7 linked regions of the Ovis aries genome follow. The protein of the gene in region 7 interacts with the protein of the main gene of each other region in a biochemical or structural test. Links are inferred from orthologs where the notes say so. Each region holds a gene or a part of one and is shown on either strand. Other genes may lie near its edges. The genes, in order: PDZK1, MAGI1, DLG1, DLG4, MPDZ, GOPC and CRHR1.

What was found.
Region 1: the proteins of CRHR1 (region 7) and PDZK1 form a complex in vitro, tested with the Homo sapiens proteins (2 studies listed by BioGRID and IntAct, with this or other methods). The link is inferred for Ovis aries from reciprocal best matches to the Homo sapiens genes CRHR1 and PDZK1.
Region 2: the proteins of CRHR1 (region 7) and MAGI1 form a complex in vitro, tested with the Homo sapiens proteins (2 studies listed by BioGRID and IntAct, with this or other methods). The link is inferred for Ovis aries from reciprocal best matches to the Homo sapiens genes CRHR1 and MAGI1.
Region 3: the proteins of CRHR1 (region 7) and DLG1 form a complex in vitro, tested with the Homo sapiens proteins (3 studies listed by BioGRID and IntAct, with this or other methods). The link is inferred for Ovis aries from reciprocal best matches to the Homo sapiens genes CRHR1 and DLG1.
Region 4: the proteins of CRHR1 (region 7) and DLG4 form a complex in vitro, tested with the Homo sapiens proteins (2 studies listed by BioGRID and IntAct, with this or other methods). The link is inferred for Ovis aries from reciprocal best matches to the Homo sapiens genes CRHR1 and DLG4.
Region 5: the proteins of CRHR1 (region 7) and MPDZ form a complex in vitro, tested with the Homo sapiens proteins (2 studies listed by BioGRID and IntAct, with this or other methods). The link is inferred for Ovis aries from reciprocal best matches to the Homo sapiens genes CRHR1 and MPDZ.
Region 6: the proteins of CRHR1 (region 7) and GOPC form a complex in vitro, tested with the Homo sapiens proteins (2 studies listed by BioGRID and IntAct, with this or other methods). The link is inferred for Ovis aries from reciprocal best matches to the Homo sapiens genes CRHR1 and GOPC.

The regions. Positions count from the first base shown.
Region 1 is NC_056054.1:99,019,408-99,022,907, forward strand, and holds part of PDZK1 (Na(+)/H(+) exchange regulatory cofactor NHE-RF3), read right to left. Parts: intron 2,828-3,500; coding exon 2,632-2,827; intron 460-2,631; coding exon 263-459; intron 1-262. UniProt on the Homo sapiens protein: A scaffold protein that connects plasma membrane proteins and regulatory components, regulating their surface expression in epithelial cells apical domains.
Region 2 is NC_056072.1:36,129,980-36,133,479, reverse strand, and holds part of MAGI1 (membrane-associated guanylate kinase, WW and PDZ domain-containing protein 1), read right to left. Parts: intron 3,226-3,500; coding exon 2,932-3,225; intron 1-2,931. UniProt on the Homo sapiens protein: Plays a role in coupling actin fibers to cell junctions in endothelial cells, via its interaction with AMOTL2 and CDH5. May regulate acid-induced ASIC3 currents by modulating its expression at the cell surface.
Region 3 is NC_056054.1:192,592,994-192,597,252, forward strand, and holds the start of DLG1 (disks large homolog 1), read right to left. Parts: upstream 2,801-4,259; 5' UTR 2,679-2,800; exon of another isoform or gene 2,585-2,678; intron 2,304-2,584; exon of another isoform or gene 1,850-2,303; intron 1,386-1,849; 5' UTR 1,355-1,385; coding exon 1,312-1,354; intron 676-1,311; coding exon 544-675; intron 1-543. UniProt on the Homo sapiens protein: Essential multidomain scaffolding protein required for normal development. Recruits channels, receptors and signaling molecules to discrete plasma membrane domains in polarized cells.
Region 4 is NC_056064.1:26,802,664-26,805,995, forward strand, and holds part of DLG4 (disks large homolog 4), read right to left. Parts: intron 3,026-3,332; coding exon 2,911-3,025; intron 1,592-2,910; coding exon 1,415-1,591; intron 1,143-1,414; coding exon 1,106-1,142; intron 999-1,105; coding exon 971-998; intron 840-970; coding exon 792-839; intron 686-791; coding exon 584-685; intron 260-583; coding exon 87-259; intron 1-86. UniProt on the Homo sapiens protein: Postsynaptic scaffolding protein that plays a critical role in synaptogenesis and synaptic plasticity by providing a platform for the postsynaptic clustering of crucial synaptic proteins.
Region 5 is NC_056055.1:81,729,768-81,733,267, forward strand, and holds part of MPDZ (multiple PDZ domain protein), read right to left. Parts: intron 2,948-3,500; coding exon 2,735-2,947; intron 2,330-2,734; coding exon 2,190-2,329; intron 1,336-2,189; coding exon 1,122-1,335; intron 214-1,121; coding exon 85-213; intron 1-84. UniProt on the Homo sapiens protein: Member of the NMDAR signaling complex that may play a role in control of AMPAR potentiation and synaptic plasticity in excitatory synapses. Promotes clustering of HT2RC at the cell surface.
Region 6 is NC_056061.1:20,413,694-20,417,778, forward strand, and holds the start of GOPC (Golgi-associated PDZ and coiled-coil motif-containing protein), read left to right. Parts: upstream 1-1,285; 5' UTR 1,286-1,503; coding exon 1,504-1,791; intron 1,792-4,085.
Region 7 is NC_056064.1:45,564,456-45,567,955, forward strand, and holds part of CRHR1 (corticotropin-releasing factor receptor 1), read left to right. Parts: intron 1-707; coding exon 708-827; intron 828-3,500.

The sequences.
Region 1 (3,500 bases), on a different chromosome or scaffold from region 7:
GTTCATAGATTTTTCCTAGGTCACCAAGAGAAATTCTGCAGTTACATTTGCAAATTCTTTCAAAAATCTTATTTCCAAGGACTTAAACCTCATGAACCCATCACATTCTCTTATCTACCAATTTGAGCTTCAGTACAGCCTTAATGATGATTGTTATGCCTCTTCCAGTATGAAGATCAAAGTGGTAACTTAACCAAAGTTTGAGGGTGTGAGTGAATGGACCCAACCTTAATTCATGAATATGTGACCTTGTATTACTTACCAGTTTATATATGTTGTCTGTCTCTTTGTCTACCACCAGCAGAGAGGTCTGATCTCCACCCTTTCTAATCATTTCCACCACAGTGTCATGATCAAGGGACTCCACAGACTTGCCATTGACAGCAACCACCAGGTCATTGTTCTTCAAGCCAGCCTTTTCTGCTGGACTTTTGGAATCTATGTCCTTGATGATTTGACCTACCCACCCCCCAAAAAAAATTTAAATAGAATTACCAGAAAGATCCATAGAAAACAAACTGGGGGATTTCTGCTGGGGCCTAAAGCCTTTATAAAATAGATATAAAAGGCATGCTGAGTACAACTCCTTCCCACTAGGATATCTATACACATCCTATCCACCTCGCTCTTTGGTCAGAACTCATTCTAGGAATAAACCCAGTCATTAATAATGAGAGTCTTAAAGAAAAGAATGTTATTACTAAAAGTGTTTGGGATTCAATCTTGGCAAAACAGCATGCTAAGCAGTAAGGGTCAGCAAAGTCCCAGGAAATCAGTGTGCATACTTGTATGCTTATGTAGAAGCTAAGCCATAAAAAAAGGGGAGGAGAGGATGGGAAGAATGGTGAACAAAACCAAAGAATTCAGACCCCAGGAAACCCAAGCTAGCCTTTTAGTAGCAGTTGGGCAAATTCAGTTGTGAATGGATCTGTGAGTGCGTGCCACACAGATGGGTGTTGAGTCTTCAGGAATTGAACCATCTTCACCAGAAACCTTCAGATCTCTCACCCTTAATTTTTTTTTGACCCTCATACAGTTTTAACAAGCTCCAATTTCACTTTTCCAGCTAGTTGCTTGGCATCTCTTGGTCACCCGTTAGTGGGAGCACCATCCTCCTGTCACTGACAGGTAGCATGATTCTTCCTCAGCATCCACTCCCTGTGTCTAATCAGCCAAGTCCTTCAGTGCTACCTTAATATTTTTACACATCTCTTCTGGAGCCCTAGTTCCTCCACCTGAAATGCAGTTTGTATTCATTCCTGCCTTGAATTCTTCCTAACCTGCTACCTTACCAGCTGCTCTCCCCTCCTTGTTTGCCTTCTCCAGTACAGACCTGCCTTCAGATTCATCTTGATGCACCGTCTGAGCGAGTCACTCCCCAGCATGACAGCGTGAATGTGAGCTTTGGAACTAAACAGACCTAATTTTGATTCTAGCTGTACTAGAACTATTTGACCATATAAAAATTGTTGTATCTTCTTCAAGTCCCCAGTTTCAGCAATTCTTACAAAATTATTAGGAGTAATTGAGATGTGTAAAGCCCGCAAGACAATGTAGGTTTAATTTTTCTTCTCTCTCACACTGTTCAAAAAATAACTCCCCACTAACTCTGAAAATAAGTCTAAACTCCTCAGCATGCACTAACAGTCCATCATATGTCTCTCCGACTGACCTTTCTAACTTGATTTTCTGTGCTACACTTTAAATAGCAATCAAACTGAGCCTGTGTCTTCCTGCTTTATTCACGCAATCCTGTCTTCATGGATTGGACTTATCTGTCCCTACCCCATCAACTTGCCTAAATTCTATTCATACTATAAAGCCAGAGCTCAAGTGCTACCTTTACTTTGAGGCCTCCCAATACCTTTTTCGTGAGGAAAAACTCGCTCCAGCATTGAATTTCCATAGTATCTTACCTGCCCTGTTTTAAGATGTTTCTTACCATCTACCTTCAGTTATGGACATATATGTCTTATCTCCTCTAGTAAATAGGGGTCTTCTTGACTGAAGAATTCTTATCACATTCATTTGATATTCTCAAAGATCCTGAGGATGTTTTTATACCATATGAGTCAAATTAATGTTTCATAAATTAATGTAAATATATATGATGGAAAGAAAATGGTAATTCTGGGTGAATAAGTTTTCATGGCCTGAACCTACATTTTTTTTTTTCGTAATGTATTCAGCTTGTGTAGGAGGACCTTAATTCTTACTGAATTACAGGGAATCAGAAAGACTCCTGGTTCTATTCATGTCCCAGATCCCCACCCACACCCCTGCCTCAGATCTAGTGGGATGTTGGCGCTGTCACACACCAGCTCATGAGAATACTTCTCAACTTCGCGTTCTATGACAGCTGTTGTAGCTTGAAATCAGACATGGTGGGAGTATTTACACCACAACGAAACAACACATACTACAAATTAGGGCTTTTTTTTAACCCCCCAGAGAGCCAATTTACTGGCATGCTACTGCTCAGATCCAAAATTCTGCTTTATAATTCTGCTATGAAAACCTAAGGATACCCTGATGGGGGGCTGGGGGGCCTAATGGAACTCTGGGGAGTCAGACTGGGATGAAGAATTGGGTGGTTACACTGCCAAGTTTTCTGCTCTTCAAGTGCCTTACCTTTCTGTTCTGGGCTTTCCCTCAGGTAGAAACCATAGCCATTGCTTCCCTTCTTCATCTCTACAACACGGGGCTGGCAGGGTAGCAGTTTCAGACTGGCTGTTTCTCTCTTGACTTTTATCTTCTGCTCGCTATGGTGCTTGTCAGTTTCCTTGTCCACAAGCAGGAATGTGATGCGGCTTCCAGACTTCTTCACCTGCAACAACAGTCAGGTGAGGACCAACATCAGTCTCCAAGAAAGATGCTGGGAAATAGGAAAGTTTCTGTGTTGAGGCACACAGTCTATAGATTAAACAGGATATATGGGATGTAAGTCCTGAGCTTAATTAAGCTGTAATACTGTTTTGTACCACCTCACTGGTATTTATTTATCTTCCCTTATATAGTTGTTTTTCCCTTTGTTAAGTATGACGTCACCCACACAGATGCTAACTGAACCCAAGTGAAAGCCAGAATTCAGAAAACCCAGAAAGGTACTTAGGTGAAGACTAGGAAAGGAATTTGGAAAAGAAAGTAAAGGTCTACTTTGAAATACCATTCTACCAAGAAAAGATACAGTTGGTCAATTTTCAAGGTTCCATATGACCCCAAAGAAAAACCTCTGAGTGTTTTCCGTGCATCCTGCTGGGGCATAAGACTTGGGGTATAGCACATCAGATACTCCCCATGTATAACTCGATATTCATCACCCACACTAGTCATCTTCCAGCTTGTATTAAAACACTTTAGTAACATTGATTCAAGATCGAATTTACTACAAGTTTAGAGAGTGATTCCAGTAACTTACACATAAGATCCAGAAGATAATGGTTCTTTAGAACACTTTTCTTCAAGACAACATGAAACTAGCAAAGGCCTCATTCCAAAGC
Region 2 (3,500 bases), on a different chromosome or scaffold from region 7:
TGAAAAGGGAAAGAGAAGGTTAAGTGTTAATTAATTAAAGCATTAAGCAAATGTTATTAAAGGAGAACTCTGTGCCGAGGGTCAAAACATTGGCAAAGTTTCGGGCGTTTGGGTAAGAAGTTACAGCCCTAAATGATAGTTCATTGCTGCAGTCCTTTCCCGATTTAAAATGAGGGGGACACCCCAGCTTTCCTCTTTCTATCAGTGGCAAAATTTGGGATCTTCAGCAATTTCCAAAGATTCTCAAGCGCCCCCAAAGTAACTTGCTGTGGGCTTATTTGGGGACTTCAAACACGAAACCCAGAGCTGGGATGGAAGCTTCTGCACATTCTGTGTTCATGTCACTTCATTTTTGCCAGATGTTGCTTAAGCTTCTGCCAATGTTTTGTTCTTTCTCCATTTAGAAAACACAATCACTGGGTGTCTAGTGAGGTCAGAGAGTCCGCTAGTGCCAAAAATCCAATCTGAAAACACCTAATAGACAAACACTTAGACTTTCTGCCTGCTATCCAGCATGATGAAAGCTTTAGCAAAGGGGCATAATTACGAGATGAGCCAAGGAAGCACCCAACCTTGACACGCATTTTTCCTTTTATGACCTTTGCTCAATCAGCTGCTCTTGTGGGCTTTCAGAGAAGGGCCCAAATGGCTCATTAGCTCTGAAATCCTCCTTCTTCCTCATAGAAATCCCCTCAAAGCCATAAGAAAATCTAGTACATACTCAGATGGAGGACAGTGATCTGAAGCTAGGTTCAAATCATTCCTCAGCCCTTCTTCTTTAATCATTTCCTTTGTCCTCCTCAGTTACTACATAGCTCTGACAGGAAAAATCAGGAAAAGTGCATTTGAAGAAGAAAGTTTACTGTGTGCTCTGAGGCACTTCATGTCACAACCAAGAGTGACTGGTAACTTTTAGAAGAGAGGTGGAAAACAGGCTTTGTGGCCTGATCTGGTTTCCAGATACTTGCATACTGAGTTGTAAATTTTGTTGGGCATGTCCACTGATTTTGAGAGTTTGTCTTTCTGTAAAGATAGTTACGTAGTTGAGCCATCTTTGGGAAAGCGTGACAAAATTAACGTGGGAAACCCTGAAAGAGAAGGCTCTTCCATCCTAATTCAGAGTGTAAGGATAAAATGTATGGGAAATGAGCTGCAATTGCTTCGAATTTCAGCATATTTGCCTGAGTCTGTATCACTGGATGTTAAGGTTAAGGTTAAAGAATTTTTCAAAAGAGAGTTAAACAGTCTTCTGGAAAGCAACAAGCAGGTGTGGTGGAAAGCCTCCATACTCAAATTCAAGGTATTGATTAAGTTTAGCCCATCTCCAAGGACAAGTCCATGGAAAAGGTATCATGCAGGTGGGAGGAAAGTCTGCGTGGCTCAGAAGAGAGGTCACATGCAAGGTATTAGGGAAAATTTAATTTGCTCATTGTAAAAGTTGGAGGAAAACAATCAAAGACCAAATTGTGAGTGAAGACATTCGATATGTGTTAAACAACACAAAACCTCCCACCAGACATATCTGTTGTTTCATTCTAGAAGGAGAAACTGAAAACTCAAATTCTGAGAATATCACTGGGTGCATAGGGACAAACTGCAGATCTGAAGAAAATAACTTGAGATGTCTTTGTCCCCTCTGCTTTTCTTTTTAAATTGGACGGAAAAGTCTTCAAAACTAATGGAGAAAACAAGCCAGAAAACCACCCTGCCTTGAGGTCAAGTCACCCACCACCCACAACATGCTGTGATAATGCTATTAACAGCGCTCACAGAGGCATTGTTAGTAATGCGTGTTTGTTATTGCAGCCACACATGCACAGACCTGGCTTGACGCACTGTCCCCTGAAGTTTGCACCTTAAAGGGACATGACTTAAGCAGGAAGCAAAGTACCAAGACTAAATGGAGACAAACAGAGTTGTACCAGAGCAGAAATCCAACAGGATGGAGCACCTAGCTGATGTTAGGCCAGCAAGCGACCTGGACCACTGGTCCTCAGACTCCTTGTGGGTAGGTCATTTGGAGACAGAGCTGAAGCATGTTTCAAAGCCTGCACAGCCCTTCCCATCTCCCATCATATTCCATATTAACTAACAAATGTGCTTGGGGAAAACAACAAATGACGTTTTATTTAATGAAAAAGGTGGATCAGTTTTGGAGTATGTACTTATGATCCATTCTAATAGGAAGACTCACGATTCCTAGTTCCTAGAATCACCTGGCTTCCTGTTTGTCTCAGCCCATGTACCCTGCAGGTGACAGTTGTGTTTCTCCACTCTCTGCTGAAACCCTCAACATCTGGATGAGACAGGACAACCACCCCTGCTAGAATTCAAGGGCAGTGAAGACAAACAGCTCTGCACTCAGATTTTAATTAGATTCTCCACCAGGCAACAGTAAACATATTATTTTAAATTAAAATTTAAAAATTTCAGATGGAGATAGGTAGAGGAAGGACACAGATAAGATGGAAAGGGCATTGCATGTATATTTTTTACTCCTCACACCTCTATTTCCCCCCTCCCCACAGGCATTTATTTCTAAAACCATATGCTTCTTTTAAAAATGCGGAGACCTTCTGAGACAACTGCTATGATTGATACCCTGCTCAGGACCTTGCAAAGGTCTCTCTATGGCAAGAATTTCTCACACTTTATCCTGTCAAGGGGCTTCTTTGCAAATTTCACCTATGCATGAAGTTGTCTGCCTGTGAACGTGCCACCAGAATGGAAGCTGAAGAGTTAAAAAAAAAAAAATCCCAACCTTCAGGAGAGGAAAAGCTGCCCAATAAAGTCCGTCCCCAATTAAGACTTTCATTACCTGAAGCGGAAAGCATGACAAGCATTTCTGTTAATGAGATTCTGGCTCGTCTTTTCCTCTCCAGAGAACAGTGACCCCAGGAAACGCTGGGGAGCAGAAGTGACCACACTCACCGAACGTCGTGCCGGCCTCGGGCCTGCTCACCGACGACACGATGACAAAGCCAAAGCCCTCGTTCTCGCCGCGCCGGATCTCCACGTCGTAGGGCTGGACCACGGTGCTCACCACACCGCTGCCGCCGCCGCCGCCACTGCCGATGCCGCTGGTGCTGCCACTGCCTGAGCTCACCGTGTTCAGGGAGTTCTGGCTGCCCTGCGGGGTCCGCTTCTCCTCCGTCAGCGAGGCCGGCTGGTTGCTACTGTGATGGGATGAGGCTGGCGAGGGTACCTCGTTCTCAGTTTTGGGGGCTGTGCAAGAGACATACCTCTTGGTTACCCGCCTCTGCCAAGAAATGTGCCGTCACCCCTTCCTCCTTCCCCCATCTACTCCACAACCAAACCAAGAGAGTGACAGCTTTGACAGCACCTGGCCTCACATAACTGAGACACAGGAACCGAAAACCACTCTGATAAGCATTTAGCATTCAGGGTCTGCAGACACCCATACCATGGGAGAACAAAGGGGACGCCCAGAGTCTGTTACATTTAGGGCATACTGTGTATCAGCGTCTGTATTTGGACGC
Region 3 (4,259 bases), on a different chromosome or scaffold from region 7:
CACCCTTGTTCAGTTCTCCTTTAAAACAATGAACCACATCAAATTTAAGTTAGAGTTAAGAATATTCAATATTTTTATCTGTAAAACAAGATTAGACCAAGATTATCTGTAAGATCATTTTTCAAGTTTAAAACTGTAATTCTACAAATGCCAAGTTTAAACAGAGGTCTATATTAAGAGAATGAATGTTCTTAAACACAGAACTTTTCAAACATTTTCAGAGATTCCAGAGAAATAACAAAACCAACAAAGAAACAAGCTAACAGTTATTCAGTCATTACTTTTTGCAACCTCTTCATTTTTTAATGCTTTGTTATCAAAGACCACTGAAATAATCATACTGAAAGTTTTTTTGGTTATTAGATATTTCTGGAAAAGATATTGGTCTAAGTATCAAAATACACAATTCACTGGATGTTCAAGTAACTGCATGCCTCACAGAGAGCCAAGTCTATCACTCTCTTAAGTTTAAAATAAGTGAATTCAGAGAAGCCTTAAGCCCAGCTGACACACAATGGTCACAAATAAAGTTTTAATTCCCACCTATTAAAGCCTGAAAGAGGTTGCTCTGGAATATGTTAATAACCCGTTCTATGGAACTTCTGAGCTGTCTGTCTTCTGTTTGGCTTAGTTTCGAACGATAATCTTCCAAAAGGTGCAGTGCTCTCTGGGTATCTGAAAAGAAAAAAAAAGTTTGATTAAAATTATATACTTACAAGGAAGTATTACAAACTAGCTATGCAGCAAAATACTCTGCAAGATAACCTAAACAATTCTCCAAACCTCCAAGTCGATCCATGCTACTATGTTCCTGTACATATAGTCCTTAGAAATGAAATAATCCAAAAACTGTTCATTATGTCACAATAAAACAAGGTGAGTAGTTTGTAACCAATGTGTTCTAGTGATCATTTAACCAGTAACATAGTTTCAGTTGATCTGATATACAAACACTGATTACTACAATCCATCATTATAATTCAAATATTCTTTCAAAACTAGTAGTTCTTAGCTAGTATTCCACATTCGTTCACGAAAGGGTTTACTAAGAATGATTTAAATGAAATATTAAAACGCCAACACAAACTTTTAAAAAAGACATTTCTGAGGGAAAAAAGTTAATTGCCTCTCCAGTCACTACAGAGATGTCAAGGGAAAAAAGTTTGACAAACACTTAGGTGTTTCCATCTTCTGAATGATTGAGGCTTAGATTCCGTAAGTAATAAGGCTAAGGCTGGGCTGTCTCATCAGTTACACAAACATCTGTAAAACATAGCAAGCACAAAACAGAAAAAAGCAAGGGATACCCACAAGAGTTCCGAAGTAAACTCTCACCTTGCTTCCGGACCGGCATTTTTCTCCAGAATCAGGAAGAGAGCACACACCTTAGAACACAAAACAGAAAGGAAACAGAACTGAATTCAGAAAAGAACAGAATCGAGGTTAACCTAGCATTTACCTCTAACTCTCAAATCGAAAAACTCCTAGCCCTATTTGAAAAGTCCACCTGGCAAAGTTTTCCCAAGTCAAAGGAGAAAGAGCCTCAAAACCCAGCAGTGTCAATGTAGAAAGCTTTAACCTAAGGTTGGGTTCCCCTGCAAATTAAGAGCAGACAGGAGCAAGCTGCCAAACTCTCCTCGAAAGCTGCCCCTTCTCCAAAGGGAGCTTAATGCTAGACGTGGGGCCACCCCTCCCCCGGCATAAGAAAGCATACCCCCCACCTGCTACTGGGGGGTGAAGAGGCGCTCCGACCCTTGGCCCCTAAACCAGCAGAGACTGTAAAGCAGTCCGAGAAGGAACCAACTGGATTGATCACCCCGCCCTGCTCGGGCCCCCTCCTCTCGCTTGCCTGATTCCTTGTTGGCTTCCTCCGAGCTACTCCAGCGAGGGCCGGACAGGACAGCGGCCGCTCTCCGACGCCCTCGTGCCCCACATGCACACCTCCGCGGGCCCCCACACCTGCGGCGCCGCCACAAAGTTCCTGCGAGTGGCGTGCGCCCGGAGCTGGGGTGCGCCCCGGCCCGTCTCCCCCGCCCTGCCCCGCTCCACGTCCCCCCGCCCCACCCGGGGCTTGCGGAGCTGTGCAGAGGGGGGTGAGGGAACGGGGGAGGAGCTCCCCTCGGCGGCTGCACCCCCGTTGCCTCTTCCTCCGCCTCAGCCGCCGGCGCCTCCTCACTCGCCGGTACCCGCTAGCCCGCTCGCCTTCTCAGCTCTTAGCCGCCACACCCCCGGAACCTCGCCTCCTTCCGCGCCCCCAACCGCTCTCCCCCCAAACTTTCCGCCAAGATGGCGGCCCTTGATCTGGATTGCCGCGCCCCCACGTGACCGCTTTCCCAGCGCTCTCAGCCAATGGGAAGTGAGGAGGCGGCTCGCGCCGAGCCCCGGGCTCTCAGCGCTGCAACCTTTGGGTTCGAAGAGGGAGGAGGGCCAGGAGGGGGCTGGGGACGGCAGAAGGGGACCTGAGGAACGTCGAAGTGAACCTCCTTGCGTAAAGGCGCGGCCACCGAAGTGGTTCTGAGAACAAAGGAGTTGACGCACAGACTCTACAGGTGGGCCAGGGCGCCCTGGAAGAGCCCGCCTTTACCTCGTCCTAGCCCACCGGTGTGTCCCGCGGCTCTGAGCGAGTAGCGCACCAGGCGAGGAAGAGTGACAGTGTCGGAAGAGAAATGTGACCTCACCTACACCAGATCCAGGACACACATTCCGAGACACCCTTTAACCTCACTAAATGCGTGTCGTTTCCAACTCTGCCGGAGAGATCCACCCCGGGGGTGGATCCCCAACCTGGAAAAGCATTCTCAGGGAGGTGTCGACTGCACCACCCACGATAGGGGGCGGGAAAGGGCGGGGCCTGGGAGGGGGAAAAGGGAGGTGTTTGCGAGGGGGAGGGGTGCCGTCTCTGCATTCTTACACTTGGTGCTAATTTTTTCAAGTTACTGTTAGCCCCTCAGTAAAAGTTTTGGAGGAACTGAGTTAAAGAAGGGTAGGTAAAATATGGAGATTAGTTAATCTGATAAGAAATTGAAGGTTTTGCCAGAGAATTTTTTAAATCTAAGTGATTAATTCCAAGTATGAATGCATTTAAGGAAGGGAATAGAAAATTGGTTCGTTCGTTTTCTCATTCATTCTCCCTTGCCTGCAACTCCCTCCAAGTCAACAGCTTCACGTATTACCCAAGCTCTGGCGGCCCCTTTAAGAACTCACCTGTAGCTACCGCTGAAGCTCAGCAAAACTAGTTTAAAGCTAGTTTACGTAGTCCCTAGGAGAAGGAAATGGCAACCCACTCCAGTGTTCTTGCCTGGAGAATCCCAGGGACGGGGGAGCCTGGTAGGCTGCCGTCTATGGGGTCACACAGAGTCGGACACGACTGAAGTGACTTAGCAGCAGCAGCAGCAGGAAAGGGACTACTAGCCGGCTGGGACCCCGCTTCGGGGCTGAGCCTCCCAGGATCTGGAAAAGGAATTGGGCAAAGATGTCCAAATCATTTCCACATCTTCGACCCTCTTCTGTGTACCAGCAACCTCCATGCTCTGATCCAGAGAGAAGAATTTGCCTAAGATCACCCAATTCAGTTCAGTCGCTCAGTCGTGTCCAGTTGTTTGCGACCCCATGGACTGCAGCACGCCCGGCCTCCCTGTCATCACCAACTCCTGGAGCTTACTCAAACTCATGTCCATTGAGTTGGTGATGCCATCCAACCATCTCATCTTCTGTCGTCCCCTTCTCCTCGCGCCTTCAATCTTTCCCAGTATCAGGGTCTTTTCCAATGAGCCAGGTCTTCCCATCAGGTGGCCAAAGTTTGGAGTTTCAGCATCAGTACTTCCAATGAATATTCATGACTGATTTCCTTTAGGATTGACTGGTTGGATCTCCTTGCAGTCCAAGGGACTCTCAAGAGTCTTCTCCAACACCACAGTTCAAAAGCATCAATTCTTCTGCGCTCAGCTTTCTTATAGCCCAACTTTCACATCCATACATGACTACTGGAAGAACTATAGCTTTGACTAGACAGACCTTTGTTGGCAAAGTAATGTCTCTACTTTTTAATATGCTGCCTAGGTTGGTCATAACTTTTCTTCCAAGGAGCAAGCGTCTTTTCATGGCTGCAGTCATGATGTGCAGTGATTCCTTACAAATAGCTGTGAAGAGAAGAGAAAGACAAAGGAGAAAAGGAAAGATATACCGATCTGAATGAAGAGTTCCAAAGACTAGCAAGGAGAGATAAGAAACCCTTCCTCAGTGATCAATGCAAAGAAGTA
Region 4 (3,332 bases), about 19 Mb from region 7:
CAGGGAGAGAGACAGAGAGAGAGAGAGTTAGAGAGCTGAGGAAGGCCATGGGGAGAAGGAGGAGGGGGATGGGCCACGGCTCCTACCTGCTCTGCCACCTCTCGCACGGACTGGACGCTGGTTCCATACAGGTGGCTGTTGTACTGGCCGGCCTCAATGAACTTGTGGGCCTGAATGTCCTTCTCCATTTTCTCCCGGGATGACACAAAGTGGTAATCCCGGCCATCTATCTCGTACTCCCGCTTGGGCCGCGTCGTATCTGCCAGGAAGTCACCCCATCCCCCAAAGATCTAACCACCATCCCTCCAGCTTCAACCCTGCCTACAGCGACCCCCCCCCCCACCCGCAGAGAGCCCAGCTGGTCCTCCGGGGAAGGGGGCTGCTGGGGAGACCGAGGCCAGGGGAGAGGGGTGGAGCTGCCTCCCCCAGCACCTCTGGGTCATCCGAGTCCCAGGCCTGGGACGGTCCCGGCAGACCTGAGGGTGGCTGAGCAGCACCCTCGTCTGAGAACCCTGTGTTCAGAAGTGGCTCTGCCTGTGACCCCTTGGGCCCCCTCCACCGCCCCTCAAGGCCCTGCACTCACGGGGAACACAGGATCCAAACTTGTCGGGGAACTCGGAGAGGAGATCATCGTTGGCGCGGTCCTTGGTGGGCCCGAGGATAATGATGGGGCGAGCATAGTGCACTGAGGAGAGCGTGGCGGTTAGGCGGGGGCAGAGATCGGGGTCAGGCGGGGGGGTGGGCAGAGGTGGGGCAGGGGGGCTGGGCCAGGGCGTGCTGCCAGGGCTCACCTTCCATCTGTGTCACCGTCTCGTAGCTCAGGACCGAGTCTTCTCGACCTAACAGGAGGCAGGGCATCTGCAAGGGCCTTGGAGGCAGGGGATGCAGGGGCCCCACCAGCCTTCCCAAGGACTCAAGAGAAGCCCAGGGCCCCTCTCCCCGCAGGTCTCCCCAACCTGACCCAACCTACCCTGTGATCCAGAGCTGGAGCCCCAATCCTAGGGAGACAGAGCAGGCCATGCAGTCAGTCAGGAGCCTAGACCCACGAGCGCCATACCACCCCACCTCTGCTCTTCCACCAGAGCTCCCGGCCTTCTCCACTTACCTTGGCCTTCAACCGTGACCACTCCCGTCGCTCAACCCTGGGGGATACATGGAGGGATGGGGGTAGAGAAATGGCCAGTGAGGGGACCTCTTGCCCCCACCCCCAGGGCAGCTGAGAACTCTGTCTCCCAGCAGCAGCCCCTGGGCCCCACGCTCCTAAATGAGGTGTTTGTCCCAAGGGCTCATGTGAGTCATGGTGCCCATGAAGGGTCAGCAGACAGATCCCCAAGAAGCTGGGGGTGGACCCATGCCTTCCCTGCTGGCTGCCCACCCTGGGGCCCTTGGGAGCTTCAGGGGCAAGAAGGCTCACCGCCGCTTGCTGGGGATAAAGCCGATGTCATCAGTCTCGCTGTCGGAGTGGACCCGCCTTGCCTGCCACCACTCCTCATCGCTGGCGTCAATGACATGAAGCACGTCCCCGAAGCGGAAGCTCAGGGCCTGGCTCAGGAAGCCGCAGTCCTTGGTCTTGTCATAGTCAAACAGGGCCCTGGAGGGCAGGTAGCCTCCAGTCAGTCTGGTGAGGGCCAAGGCCCCCCGAGACCCAGCCCAGAGGTTCTGCCTAGGGGTCTACAGACCCGCACGGCCGCTGGTGGCTTTCCCAGAGATGCTGTGGATTCTGAGGAACCCTAGAACTGTGTGGGAACCTAAAACTCTACAACTATGAACAGCCATTCAATTCTCGCTGTGTCAGGGATCAGACAGCCTACGGATTGGGGGCGATTTTAAGAGTAAGATTGAGAATAGCACCCTCCTAAGAAAGCAGCTGCCATATGCATGCACGTCACAGTCACGGGGTAACATGGACCCAAGTCTGGCTACCCTCAGCAGTAGAGTGGCCTTAAGTGACAACCTGTAAGTGACAACTCCAGGGTCAGGACAAGGGAAGAAATGACTGCAGAGACACCAGAGATGCCGAGCAGAGCACCAGGGCTAGAAAGATGGGAAGGGACTCAAGGATCATCAGCATCATCTGGGAGTCAGAACCGACCAGGCCTGGGAGCCAACCGGACCCGGCAAGGAGAGAAGGGCCGAGAGAGGCTCTGATTTGAGCCAGGCATCTTGGCAGACAGCGGTGTCATTCAGGAAGAGAGATACCAACTGGGCAGGACGGAGAGCGAGCACGCACGCTCGGGAGAAAAGGTGAGCTAGCTCTGGGACATGCTGAGTGTGAACACCTGTGGGACAACCCCAGGGTTGTGTCCAGAAAGCAGATGGCTGGAGCTGCAGGTCTGGACTGTGGGGAAGAGGTCAGGCCTGGGCTGACTGCTCTGAGAGACACTGGCAGAGTGAGCAGAAGGGGAGCCTGTGTGAGCAGACCGGGAGCCCAGAGGGAAGGAAAGGAAGAAGCTCGGACAAAGCGCCTACACCTGGGGCAGATAAGAAAGAGGAGCCCAGTGGGAGAAGGAGCCCTAAGAAGGTAGCAAAATGCCACCCGGGAGACAGGGTCAGCTTGGAGAGAGCAGTGGTCCACTTCCCCTGGAATGCGTTATCCCATGGGGCTGGGTGATATTCCAAAAGTTGAAAGGCCCCCTGCTCTGCCAGGCATTACCCTTTGAGTTACCAGACTGTGCGGCAGCTGGGGGTCCCAGGGGAGGTGCCAGGGTGACTAGGGGCTAGGAAGCAGTAGGGATCACTGAGGTTGAGGCTGTTTTCTAGTCGCTATGGAGCATTTCTCAATGCTAACCTATGCGTCTCCAGCCCTAGAGAGGGAGGCGGGACAGGAGCCAGGCAAGATTGAGGAGGGAGAGCTGGCTGGGGGACAAGGGGCCATGAAATGAAGAGGGGCCCAGCCAGGAAGCATCTGACCTGATATAGAAACCCCTTTTGGGGTTGCTCCGCAAGGAGGCAGTCCCTGAACCCAGGCTGCTGTTCATGAGCTGTTCCCGAAGGTCGTGGATCTTGGCCTCGAACCGGCTGTACTCTGAGAAAGGACAAGAAGGTTCCTGAGCTCTGGCCAGTCCCTACTGTCAGCCTCTTCCCCCCCACCTCCCCCAAACCCTGCAGAAGCCAGGAGACAAGAGTTCTGAGCACCATCTGAGAGGGGGAGCTTCAGGCTTGGTAATTCCCATTTAGTTACTCAGCCGCGTCTAATTCTTTGCAAACTCATGGACTGTAGCCCACCAGGCTCCTCTGTCCATGGGATTTCCCAGGCAAGAATCCTAGACTGGGTAGCCATTTTCTTCTCCAGGGGAATCTTCCTGACCCAGGGATTGAACCCGTGTCTTGGG
Region 5 (3,500 bases), on a different chromosome or scaffold from region 7:
CAAAGCCTCCTCTTTTTGATGGAAATATACAAGAAGAAGCTGTATTATTGTATAAAACATAAAATACCTGCTGGAATAGCTTACCTGATCAGCTACACCTCCAGGCAGAATGGTCTTCACAATCACACCAGTTGCTTTTCCTCCTACGATGCCAAAGCCCAGACCAGAACCATCATTGACCAATTCAATAGTTTCCACATGCTGCCAGTGAACCTGCAAACAAAGCCCTCATGTCAATTTGAAAACTAAAATTTTATTGTAGTTGAGATTTCTGTGAATATTATTTTGCGATTAGTATTAAATGAGTGCAACATAATAATGAGTTTTAACAGGGTCCCTTTTATTTAGTACACTTCTCTTTCAACAGGTTGTTACTACTGTTGATACAGCCATTCTTGAAATTATCAATACATCATTATAGTGGCTCTATTTAACCAGGTAAAGATACAGACTGGCAAGATCCTTTTAAGAGTTTAAAAAAAGATAATCAAAGAAAAAGAGAAAAAAAAATGTTAGCTGTTAAAAATTTCTTCTACATAAATCTTGTTTCATTAGATTTCAAGTTAAGTGAGAAAGTGTTAATCACTCAGTCGTGTCCAACTCTTTGCAACACTATGGATTGTAGCCCGGCAGGCTCCTCTGTCCATGGAATTTCCAAGACAGAAACACTGGAGTGGGCAGCCATTCCCTTCTCCAGTGTATCTTCCCGACCCAGGGATTGAACTAGGTCTCCTGTACTGCAGGGGGATTCTTCACTGTCTGAGCCACCTGGGATGCCCCCAAATTAAATGACCTGTTAAAGTCACTGATAGCTAACTCTAACAACTTAAAAAGTAAAATCAAGATTTTATTTGTTTACAGATAGTCAATCTTTAAGGGACTTTTTCCTTTCTTAGGAATGAATTCAAGTTTAAAAGCTACACAAAAAAAATAAAAGTTTTCTGGAAGCCAGAAACTTAATCATAATTGCATAAAATATATTCTATGCTCAGAAGAGAATAAAGAACAAAAAGGCAAAAACCCAAGAAATACAAAGAACCTATAGGAATTGCAAACCTGTGCAAAACCTTAAAGAATTAGAAAAATATGTTCTGTTCCCCTTGAAAAACTTATGTACTCACCGGGTTAGAATGAGCTGAAATTGTGCTCGCTGCAGATGGAGAACGGGAAACTATGGGGCTGATAAGCTGAGGCAATGAGCCTCTGGCAATAACCAGCTGGACAGTATCTTTGGCTTTCTGCAGGATGCTGATGGCCTGCTGATGTGTAATTGTCTGATCCAGTGCCTGTCCATTAATAGCAAGGATTTGGTCAGTTTCCTTCAATCTTCCATCTCTAACAATGAAAAGGGGGATAAAAGATAACCGATAGATCTCAAGAAAATGACTGCTTCTTTGGAATGCATTTTCAGGTTATTTTTAATTCTATTTTCTAATGTCCACACTATGTAACTTTTTTCTTGCAATTGTACTCTTAAAATATTTTATCTCTATTTCTTTAATTTTGTTCTAGGTGACATGCTGTTCAAAAAACCTACCGTGATAATCACGCCATGATGTAAGTCCAATCATGATGCTATACACCTTAAATTTACATACCGCTATATGTCAATTACATCTCAATAAAAATAGAAGGGAAAACTATATATGCTTTGGCACCAGCTGACCTAACCCTAGTCAACCACTCCCATTTAACAGCCATCTTCCTTTTAGCTACTCATTCAACCTATATGTTGTATTTTAGTACTGCTATTATCTTCTACAAATGAATGCAAAGAAGGATATGTTTACTTTTTTGCTTTGAGCATATTAATAAAATACAGCTCTTACTTGTTGTTTTGGGTATGTTAATAAAATACAGCTGATATTATCACAGACCACTTGAATGCTTTTCTATAATTTTTAAATCTAATCAAAAAGAGCCTGTTTAAAAACAATGGGAGTGATGTCCTAGTCAAATGTTTATTTCCTTATTAAAAAGTGATTAAGTCATGACTATATTTAAAAGTTAATCTGCCTTCAAAGGACTTTCTTGTTATTGTAGCAATGTTAATGATTTCTAAAAACTGATTAATAACATTTTATATTGTTTTTGTTTTTAGGCATTTTTGTTTCTTAAAATTCTTCTAGGGTGAGCAGCACCTTCTGAATGTGGTATCAGAAACAGAGAAGTCACAGTGACAGTCTCACCTGTGGGCCACACTGCCCTCCTGGATCTCCTGCACAAATATACCCAGCTCTCCCCGGTTTTCACTCCTCAGTCCCACCACACTGAACCCAAGGCCTCCACATGGAGGTTTGAGGAGCTCAAAAACTTCTACCTGGCGACCCTGTCCAGAAAAAGAAGCAAGGAATATAATTACATGCCAGCCACTGCATAGTGGCATTAATCTGTTTAAATTTTTTTTTTAATTTTTTTCTAAGATAACCTTCATTTAGAAAAATCCCTGAAGCACTTAAACTTACATGAAATCTACAGCTTTTTCATTCTAATTTTTTCAATGTTAAAAATGTCTTCATAAATAAGTATATCATAGTATAATATACATTTAAGATATACTTTATATTGTTGTTCAGTAAAATGTAATAAGAATATAAAACAAAATATACTATTGCATATTTTCTATTATAATAATATATTTAAAGTATACATTTAACATATGTAATATAAATATGCAAGTATTCTTCAAATTATCCAGGACACATTCTATCATAACAGGAACAAACGCTCTTACCTGGGCCATATTTTTGATCAGTTGATCAAATTCATCACAAGCAGGTTTCCCATTGATGTGTGCAGTAGTACTCAATCCTGTAAGAACTTCCAGATTTCCATTATTTGGGGATGATAAAAATGATTCATTTTGTAGAGTAGGAATTACACCTGGGCTGAGATGCGGAATGTGACCATACTCGACATTTGAAATTGTTGAAGTTGCAATGTTTACCTAAGAATAATATGGAGATTATTAACAATTTTGATATTCTAGAAGCTACCTCACAGAAATCATCCCAAGAGGGGTAATAATGAAGTACATATGAAAGTTCAAAATGTCCATACCATTTTATTCAGAAACTCTATTTCAAGAAGAAAAATTAGAAAAACACACTAAGATGTACATGCAAGGATGCATTATTTTTAGGTGGAAAAAGTTTTAAACACTAATTATGTGAAACAAATTAGCATTCAATTTCAAAGTACTCGTTTAAACACACAAAAATACATACATCTATACATACATTCTTAAGTGAAAAAGCCTAGTTAATGAACAATAAGCAAAATATAGTTCAATGTACATTCAAAAAATTATTAAACACCTGGAACAATATATACTAAATAACCAATACAGCAATAGCTGTCTCCAAGATATGGCAATCCAGGGAGACATAGTTGTCCCCAAGATATGGGAATCCAGGGAGACATTTACTTCCTATATTACTTGAATTTTCATAACAACTTATGCAGTAAAGAATTTGGTCTCTCCCAAAGAGAGGCCTGGC
Region 6 (4,085 bases), on a different chromosome or scaffold from region 7:
AGGGGATTGAGAGTGAGTAAATGGAATGGTAAAGAACAGCTGCTCAATACTCCCAATAGTCACATTAAAGTTGTAGCTATGTGCTCTGCTAATGGGAGGGTCACATCTCATTCATTTTTGTGCCCCTGATGCCTCAACAGGGCTCTGCATTCAATCTGTCTATGAATATGTAAATCTTCATAATTTTGTTTCACTGAAATGTCACGTGTAGGAACACTATCCAAGTGTTTTTTTTAATAAGAACATCTTTTTAGGTAGTTGCTTTGGAAATGTATAACCTGTGGTGTGATAATAAGGAATATCAAGTGCCAAGCCGGAGAAGGCAATGGCAAACCACTCTGGTACGCTTAACTGGAGAATCCCATGGATGGAGGAGCCTGGTAGGCTGCAGTCCATGGGGTCGCTAAGAGTAAGACACGACTGAGCGACTTCACTTTCACTTTTCACTGTCATGCATTGGAGAAGGAAATGGCAACCCACTCCAGTGTTCTTGCCTGGAGAATCCCAGGGACGGGGGAGCCTGGTGGGCTGCCATCTATGGGGTCGCACAGAGTCGGACACGACTGAAGCGACTTAGCAGCAGCAGCAGCAGCAGCAGTGCCAAGCACTGCTAAGCATTTTACCTTATTACTGAGCGAAAGAAAATTTGGAAACTGAGGCTTTGAGGTTAAAAAATACAACTAAGATGGCACAGCTAATAGGGGATAGGACTTAAAACTTGAACCCAAGGCTGTCTGACTTTTAATCACAAGAGGAAAGGACTCCTCTTAATTAAGCAACACCTGGTGAGCCGCTGTCCTTCAACTTTGCAGTTCTAGGCATTTCCATCCAGAATTTAAGGCCTGGTTTACCGAGAAGAGCAAGTGTGTCCACCCACCCCATCCGCATCACCCGTAACAGGAACTGGACTGGAAAAGGTAAAACGTGGCCACTGCGCATGCTCACACGGCCCTTTCTCACCCTTCCCACAGAATGTTACCGCGGCAACTTTGTCGGACTACTTTAGAACGGTTCCTGCCCACTATGAAGTCAAAGGGGTGGAAGCTGTTCCTCTCTGCGACGTGGACACCCTTCTCTTCTCCGGGCTTTTCCAACTTGGAAGCCCACACCATGCATCTCCCGTGGATTCAAGCTGGAGTTTGCCAGTTCTCAACATGGCCGTTGACAGGCCGGTCCCAAACGGAGGCTTTTCATAGGCCAAGGTCGCACCCTAGCTCCGCCCATTTCGTCCCTCAGGGCTGCGTCTGCCTAGGTCTTTTCTACGCAGGCGCGGCGGGGGCGGGCCGCGAGGTGGGACGGCCCGCGTCTTCCGTGTGCCACCGCCGCCGCCTCTGCTCTGCTGCTCTTGCCCCTCCGGGGCTTCGTTGCCGGCGTTAGCCACGCGAGGGGAAGAGAGGGGACGGACGGAGCGTGCGTGCGCGGGGCTTCCCGCAGTCCCAGCAGTTCCTCTCGCGGGGTGGACGACGGGGTCAGCAGCAGTCGGGGGAGGCCCTAGACGGCGCCATGTCGGCGGGCGGTCCATGCCCGGCAGGGGCCGGAGGGGGCTCAGGGGGAGCCTCTTGCGCCGTGGGGGTCTCCCCTGGCGGAGTATCTATGTTCCGGTGGCTGGAGGTGCTGGAGAAGGAGTTCGACAAGGCCTTCGTGGATGTGGATCTGCTCCTGGGCGAGATTGATCCGGACCAGGCGGACATCACTTATGAGGGGAGACAGAAGATGACCAGCCTGAGCTCCTGCTTTGCGCAGCTTTGCCACAAAGCCCAGACTGTATCCCAAATCAACCACAAGCTAGAGGTGAGCCTTGAGCCCTGGAGGGGGTGGCATTCAGCTCCAGCCATCAGACTTCATTTAACGCACCGGTGAAAAACTGCCAGCTCGGGTACCTGGGCTTCCTATGTGGCGGGAGTGCGTGTATGTGAAGGAAAAGAGTGAGGTGAGGTGAGAGCAGGAAGAGCTGTGTAGGTTGACATGTAGGTCTCCTGGGGTCCTGAAAGCCACCTGCCTGGTATCTCTATGAGGAGGAAACAGGAACTAATTAGACCTGTCTACTTGTGCCTTTTCGTTAAGAAGCCTAAGACTTCACAGAAGCTCAAAGATGCTCCGTCATAAGAATATTTTAGCTCACCTTTTAACATTTGAGTTTTTTAGATCTAGTTTCACATTGCAGGTTTGTATATGGCCAATCCTGATTATTTTGGACTATTTCAGGTCAATTTTCATTGTTGCACACAGCGCTATTCCTTGCCTGCATGAACTATTTAGGGGAATTTGATCAAAGCTTTTAGGAAAATGGGATAAACAAGATAGGATCAATGTCTGTCTCAGTTTACAGTTAGTCCTTAAATTACAGTCACATACCTCCAGAGCTCCCTACGGTTATTCAGATGACTTCTAATATTGAGGTGTGTCTGTACTTTACTACATTTCCCCAAATCTGGATTTGTTTTTGAAAGTGTGTGAAGAGCGATCATTTGCTTAAGTCTCTCATCTTGGTTGTGGGTGTGAGTGCAGTAGTAGTAGTTCCCAAAAAACCTACCATGTTTTGCAGAAAATTAAATTAGCATATTTTTACAATATTTAGAAATCATGATAGATTAACATTATTATATAAAGAGCATTTTAAATTATATAATGTAAATAAGAGAATGGGTCTTCATTTTAAAGTGGATAAAAATAGGATAATAAACGATATGCAAAGCTCTTTGACATTAGATTTCCTAAGAAATCGTTACTATCAGTTGTGATGATTGAGATTGCCCACGGGATCCAAATCAATATGAATATCAGAAATGCATTCTCTCCTTGCTTAGTAGTTAGCATTCTTTCTTTTTCCTGTCTGTCATGGAAAAGGTAGTATAATTTATCTTTGATGAGCATAGAATTGTATATGGGAGATTTTGTGATTCTTCTTCACTGAAAGAACTGTTAGTTTCTTTTACCCTTTTTGAAAAGGTTGGACGTGTTGACATAAAGCTAATCATTTATTAATCTACATCTGTGAAAATGTCTCTTGATTTCTTGATTCAGCTGTAGTTTCTAGAAGATGGTTATTTATTCAGGTAGTGACATTGCATTTGATGGTCTTCAGTAGCTTTTGCTATTCATCCTATACAACTGAGAGTTTTTACTGAGGACAGAAGAGCCTGGCAGGCAACAGTCCATAGGGTCGCAAAAAGCTGGATACAACTGAGGAAGTATACACACACACACACTGAGGATAAACAGAGTTTTTAAAAATGAAACAAAGTCTAATTCATTTTTTAAGAGACTTACGGAAACTTTGATGTTTTGATGTCAGATTTTAAAAATCTAATTTTGGAGAAATGATTGTTCTGTGAGCAGGTGATGCTCAGTTTTTTCATCTTTAAATATTTTAAATGAGTATTTAGAGTTATATTATGCATTTTCTTTTTGAGAAATCATAATTATGTATTCTGATTCCATGTCCTGGCTTAGAAGGTGGCTTTATTTCTCAAAACAAGAAATGCTAGCCCATCACAATGTAGGCACGTTTTTTTTTAACATCCTTGAAGCTTTTGATTTGAAGAGTTTAGAAAATAGGGGTTGTTTGTGTGTTTTTTCAGTTACAGTTGACTTCTTTGTAAGGTTACTGTTTCTCTGTTTAACAGTTTCTACAGTTTTCATGGAATCCGTTGTGTATTGCTGAGGAGAGAGTCATTGTCAGCAGTGCCTTTCAAAGTAGATCTGCCTTTGTATCATCTGCAGAATTTCAGAGGTGGCCCTGTGTACCTTTAGCAGTCTTTTGAGATCTTGAAATTTTAGCAAAGATTTCATACTTTCTTGCCCTGTTTTATTTTTTAGTAAGTGAATTAAATTCATTTTATTGCTTTAAGGATATGGACATTAAGGCATAATATTTGAGGTCACTTATGGTCTGATGTAGTGCACCAGATGTGCACCAAATTTCGGTTCTTTAATATACTTAAAGCATATTACCATAATAACATATTTTTATAATCAAGAAACAGACACCTCCAAGAGTAACTTAGATTTAAATTGAGCATCCTTCCGGATTGCCCTTCTTCTGCTAAGTTATTGTCTTTAGGTAGTTAATTTAATATTAATAT
Region 7 (3,500 bases):
TTATTGATAGGCCCAGAGGTGGCAAGTGACTTGCCTACACTCACACAGCAAATGAGTAGCAGAGCCCAGTCTGAAGCCTGGGTTCCGAATTACTACTTCAGTAATTCCCCACATAGTGTCTCTCTCCCTTTTTTCTCCATGATCCCTCTCAGCCAGTCCTTTCCTAGGTCCTTTCCTAGCATAGATTAGAGCACAAATGTTCAGTGATTGTGGTTATCAGGTGAGCTGGAAGGTGGGCCAACTTCTTTTAACTGGTTCCTACAGGTTCAGAGCAGATGTGGTTTGGTTCTAGAGGCGTGTAAGGGGACTGAGTCAGGGATTGGCTGGGTTTCTTCCAAGCTGTTCCAGGCTGTGAATTCTGAGCGCTCCAGTCTACACCAAGTGCAGGGCCAAGAGAAGTGTCCTCAGACTACAGAGCAGGGGACCTGGAGCATGTCCAGCCTTCCTCTAAATGCCAGCCAGGACCTCAGCTTTACCACCACCCCAGTGTCTCTGTTCCTCCTCTGCTCTGGAACCCACATTGGCTCCCTAGTGCCATAGCATCAAATTCAGATTCCTTCCCTTGGTATCTCCTCTGCAGAAAAAGAGCTCCTCTCTGCACTGGGGTCATTGCTGTCCTGTCCTCAGTTGGTGTGTGAATGTAGACTGGTTGGGGGGACACTGGAGTGGGGATGTTGCTCTGTCTCACCAGCCGTCTCTGCCTCCAGGACTGCAGTGCAATGCTTCCGTGGACCTTATTGGCACCTGCTGGCCCCAGAGTCCTGCAGGGCAGCTGGTGGTTCGACCCTGCCCTGCTTATTTCTATGGCGTCCGCTACAATACCACAAGTAAGGAAGCCTGAGAAAGGTAGACCGTCTCCTGGGAGGTGGGACAGGATGCAGAGAACTGGGGGCTTGTTGCAGGTGGGGAAAATAATACTGACAGTGACAGTAATAATACCAATACCATTCATGGGTACAGCTGCCATTGACCAAAGGCCAGCTGTGTGCTCTACTGGGCACTCTGCTATTTACTGCGGACACTCAGCAATACCCTGGAAGATGCTACATGTAACTATGTTATATAGTTAAGGCCTCCAAGGTTCAGAGAGATTAGGGAAGTTGCCCAAGATCACCAGCTGGTGAGACCGGAATTTGCATCCAGGTCTGACACTTTCTTCTGCAGTTGACCTGCTGGTTAATGTTGGCATGAGCCATGAGGTAGGGCAGGGGTCATCAGAGTAGCCCCAGCTTTGCTCAGAGAAGTTCCCAGGCCTAGCCAGGGTCCTCCAGCCATGAGGTAGGGGACTCAGGGTTTTAGATACACAGGCGGGGGGCTTGTCCTTGCAGGCAGGCCCACAAGTGGGGTGGGGACAGAGGAGAACTGATCCGGGCAGGGCTTGTTCAGATACTTGATCCTCACATAAACACCCTGCTCCCCTTGGGCCCTGAGCCTCCACCTCCAGGCTTTGCAGCTTCTTGCTATGCCACCTGTCACCCTCAGAATTAATTTGCTCTCCCCTGTCAATGACTCACAGCCCCTGCTTATCAAGAGAGCAACAGCTGCAGGCCAGGGGCCCTGACCTGTCTGGGGGGGGGCGGGGTCCCTGGGTGGGCCTTTGGGGTTTGGTGGGCCTGAGCTTAGAGCCCAAAGAGGGGACAGAAGGTGATCTCAGATACCAAATAATTGTGTGACCTTTAGCACATTTTTTTCCCCCTCTTTTATGGTCCTCTGGCCTCTCATCTGAGGATGGAGAGGGCTGGACAACACGGCTTCTTAAAACTTTGTCCAGCTCAAAACTCTCAATTTCCTTCTCCTGCCCCTCCCCTTTTCTACCAGCTGGATTAAGGGGGCTCGGGTGGGGGGCCACAGTCAAGGAGGGGTGGGGAGGGCCCTGGGGAGGTGTTGGGACTGGGCAGGAGGCTGGAACAGCCAGACCATGCAGCCTGGACCCAGGAGGAGAAGAGAGCCTGGAGGAGGTGTGAGGAGAATGTAAGTAGGAGGGAGGGCTGAAGGACCTGAAGAAAAGTTTGGGGTGCTCATCCTGCCAACCTCCAACTTAGTTGGGCCCCTTTTACCATTAGGAAATGGAGGCAGTGAGGCTGAAATCGCCCAAGGTCACAAAGCTTGGAGGTGGCACTGGAGCTGGGAAACCAGAGCCCTCCTGCTCCTCCACTCACCCGGCCGGGTGCCCGGCCCGGGAGCTCCCTGGAGGGAGGCAACACTAGGGCTGGTGTATGTTGGGGGGTGGGGGGCTACTTCCAAAAGGAGCCCCGCAGCCCCGCCCATGACAGCACCAGGTCCTGTCAGCTCCACCTCCAGAGTGATCCTCACGTCTGACCCTCCCTGCCTTCCATCCCCAGTGCCGCTGCCCCGGTTCAGGATACCTCACTTTCCAGTCCTCGTCTCTCATCCGACCCTGTCACACCCTTGCTTGGAGTCGACCTTTCTGTGGTTCCTTCTCTGTGGCTACCGTGCGACCTACCTTTGAGCCAGCCCTGGCCACTCCCCATGAACTGCCCCCACTCTTGTCCCCAAGGACAACTCGACAGCCCCCCAAATACACCATTAGTGCCTAGACACACGCTACTCGACTTGTCAGCCCTGCCTTTGAGTGGAAGCCAGGAGTCCTGGGTTCTAGTCCCAACTCCACACACACCTGGTTAAGGAGCCCTCTGCAACTGGCCCTGCCCGGGCCCTCAGTTTCTCCACCTGCAGGATGGGTGGGAGGTTTGGGTGAAGTGTTCTCTTGGCTCCCTTGCTCTTCCGTCTGTGATCCCAGGAGAAGAGCAGGAGAAGGTGATAATTCCTTGAGGTGGGGGCAGGGCTAGGAGACTCCCCTTTCCAGGTGCCTCCCCTGTCACAGTGATGAGAAACACCGCGTAATCAGGGGCAACTGGGAACCCAGATTTGTACCTAATCATTAGGCACCAGTTAATTCGTTTACCGAGGAGGTGCTGGCAGGACGTCTAGGCCTTCTCCCGAATGCCCTCCTTCCCACTGCATCTGATCTTCAAAGGGATGGGAAATATTTCCAAAAATATCAATTTTCCCGTGATTCTCCAGGAGGACTGCTCAGCTCAGCAATTAAAGACAAGGAGGTCGCATCCTCCCTGGAAACTTCATGCTGCCTGTTGGGCCTGTTTTCTTGTGGGATCACCTCACTTCCCACCAGAGCCTGCTCCCTCTGGATGATCCAGCCTGGGAGGGACTCCAGGCTCCTGCCCCACCTGCATTCAAAAGGGGGGGCTTGAGGCAAGGGGGTGCCTCCGGGACCTGTGCCTCCTTTGATAGCGACAAGTGGCATATTCTGAGTCTTATGTAAGGTTGTATAAATATAGCTCCAAGACAATAATAATAAAAGCAACAGCTCACACCACATGCCAAGTAGAGCTCCACATACCCTGTATGTGTCAACTAAAAACGCCTCTCAACCATTGAGCAGGAACTCTTGTTAAGATCATTCCTGTCTTGCAGATAAGGAAGCAGAGAGGCTGAAGGACTCGTCCAAGGTCACAGAG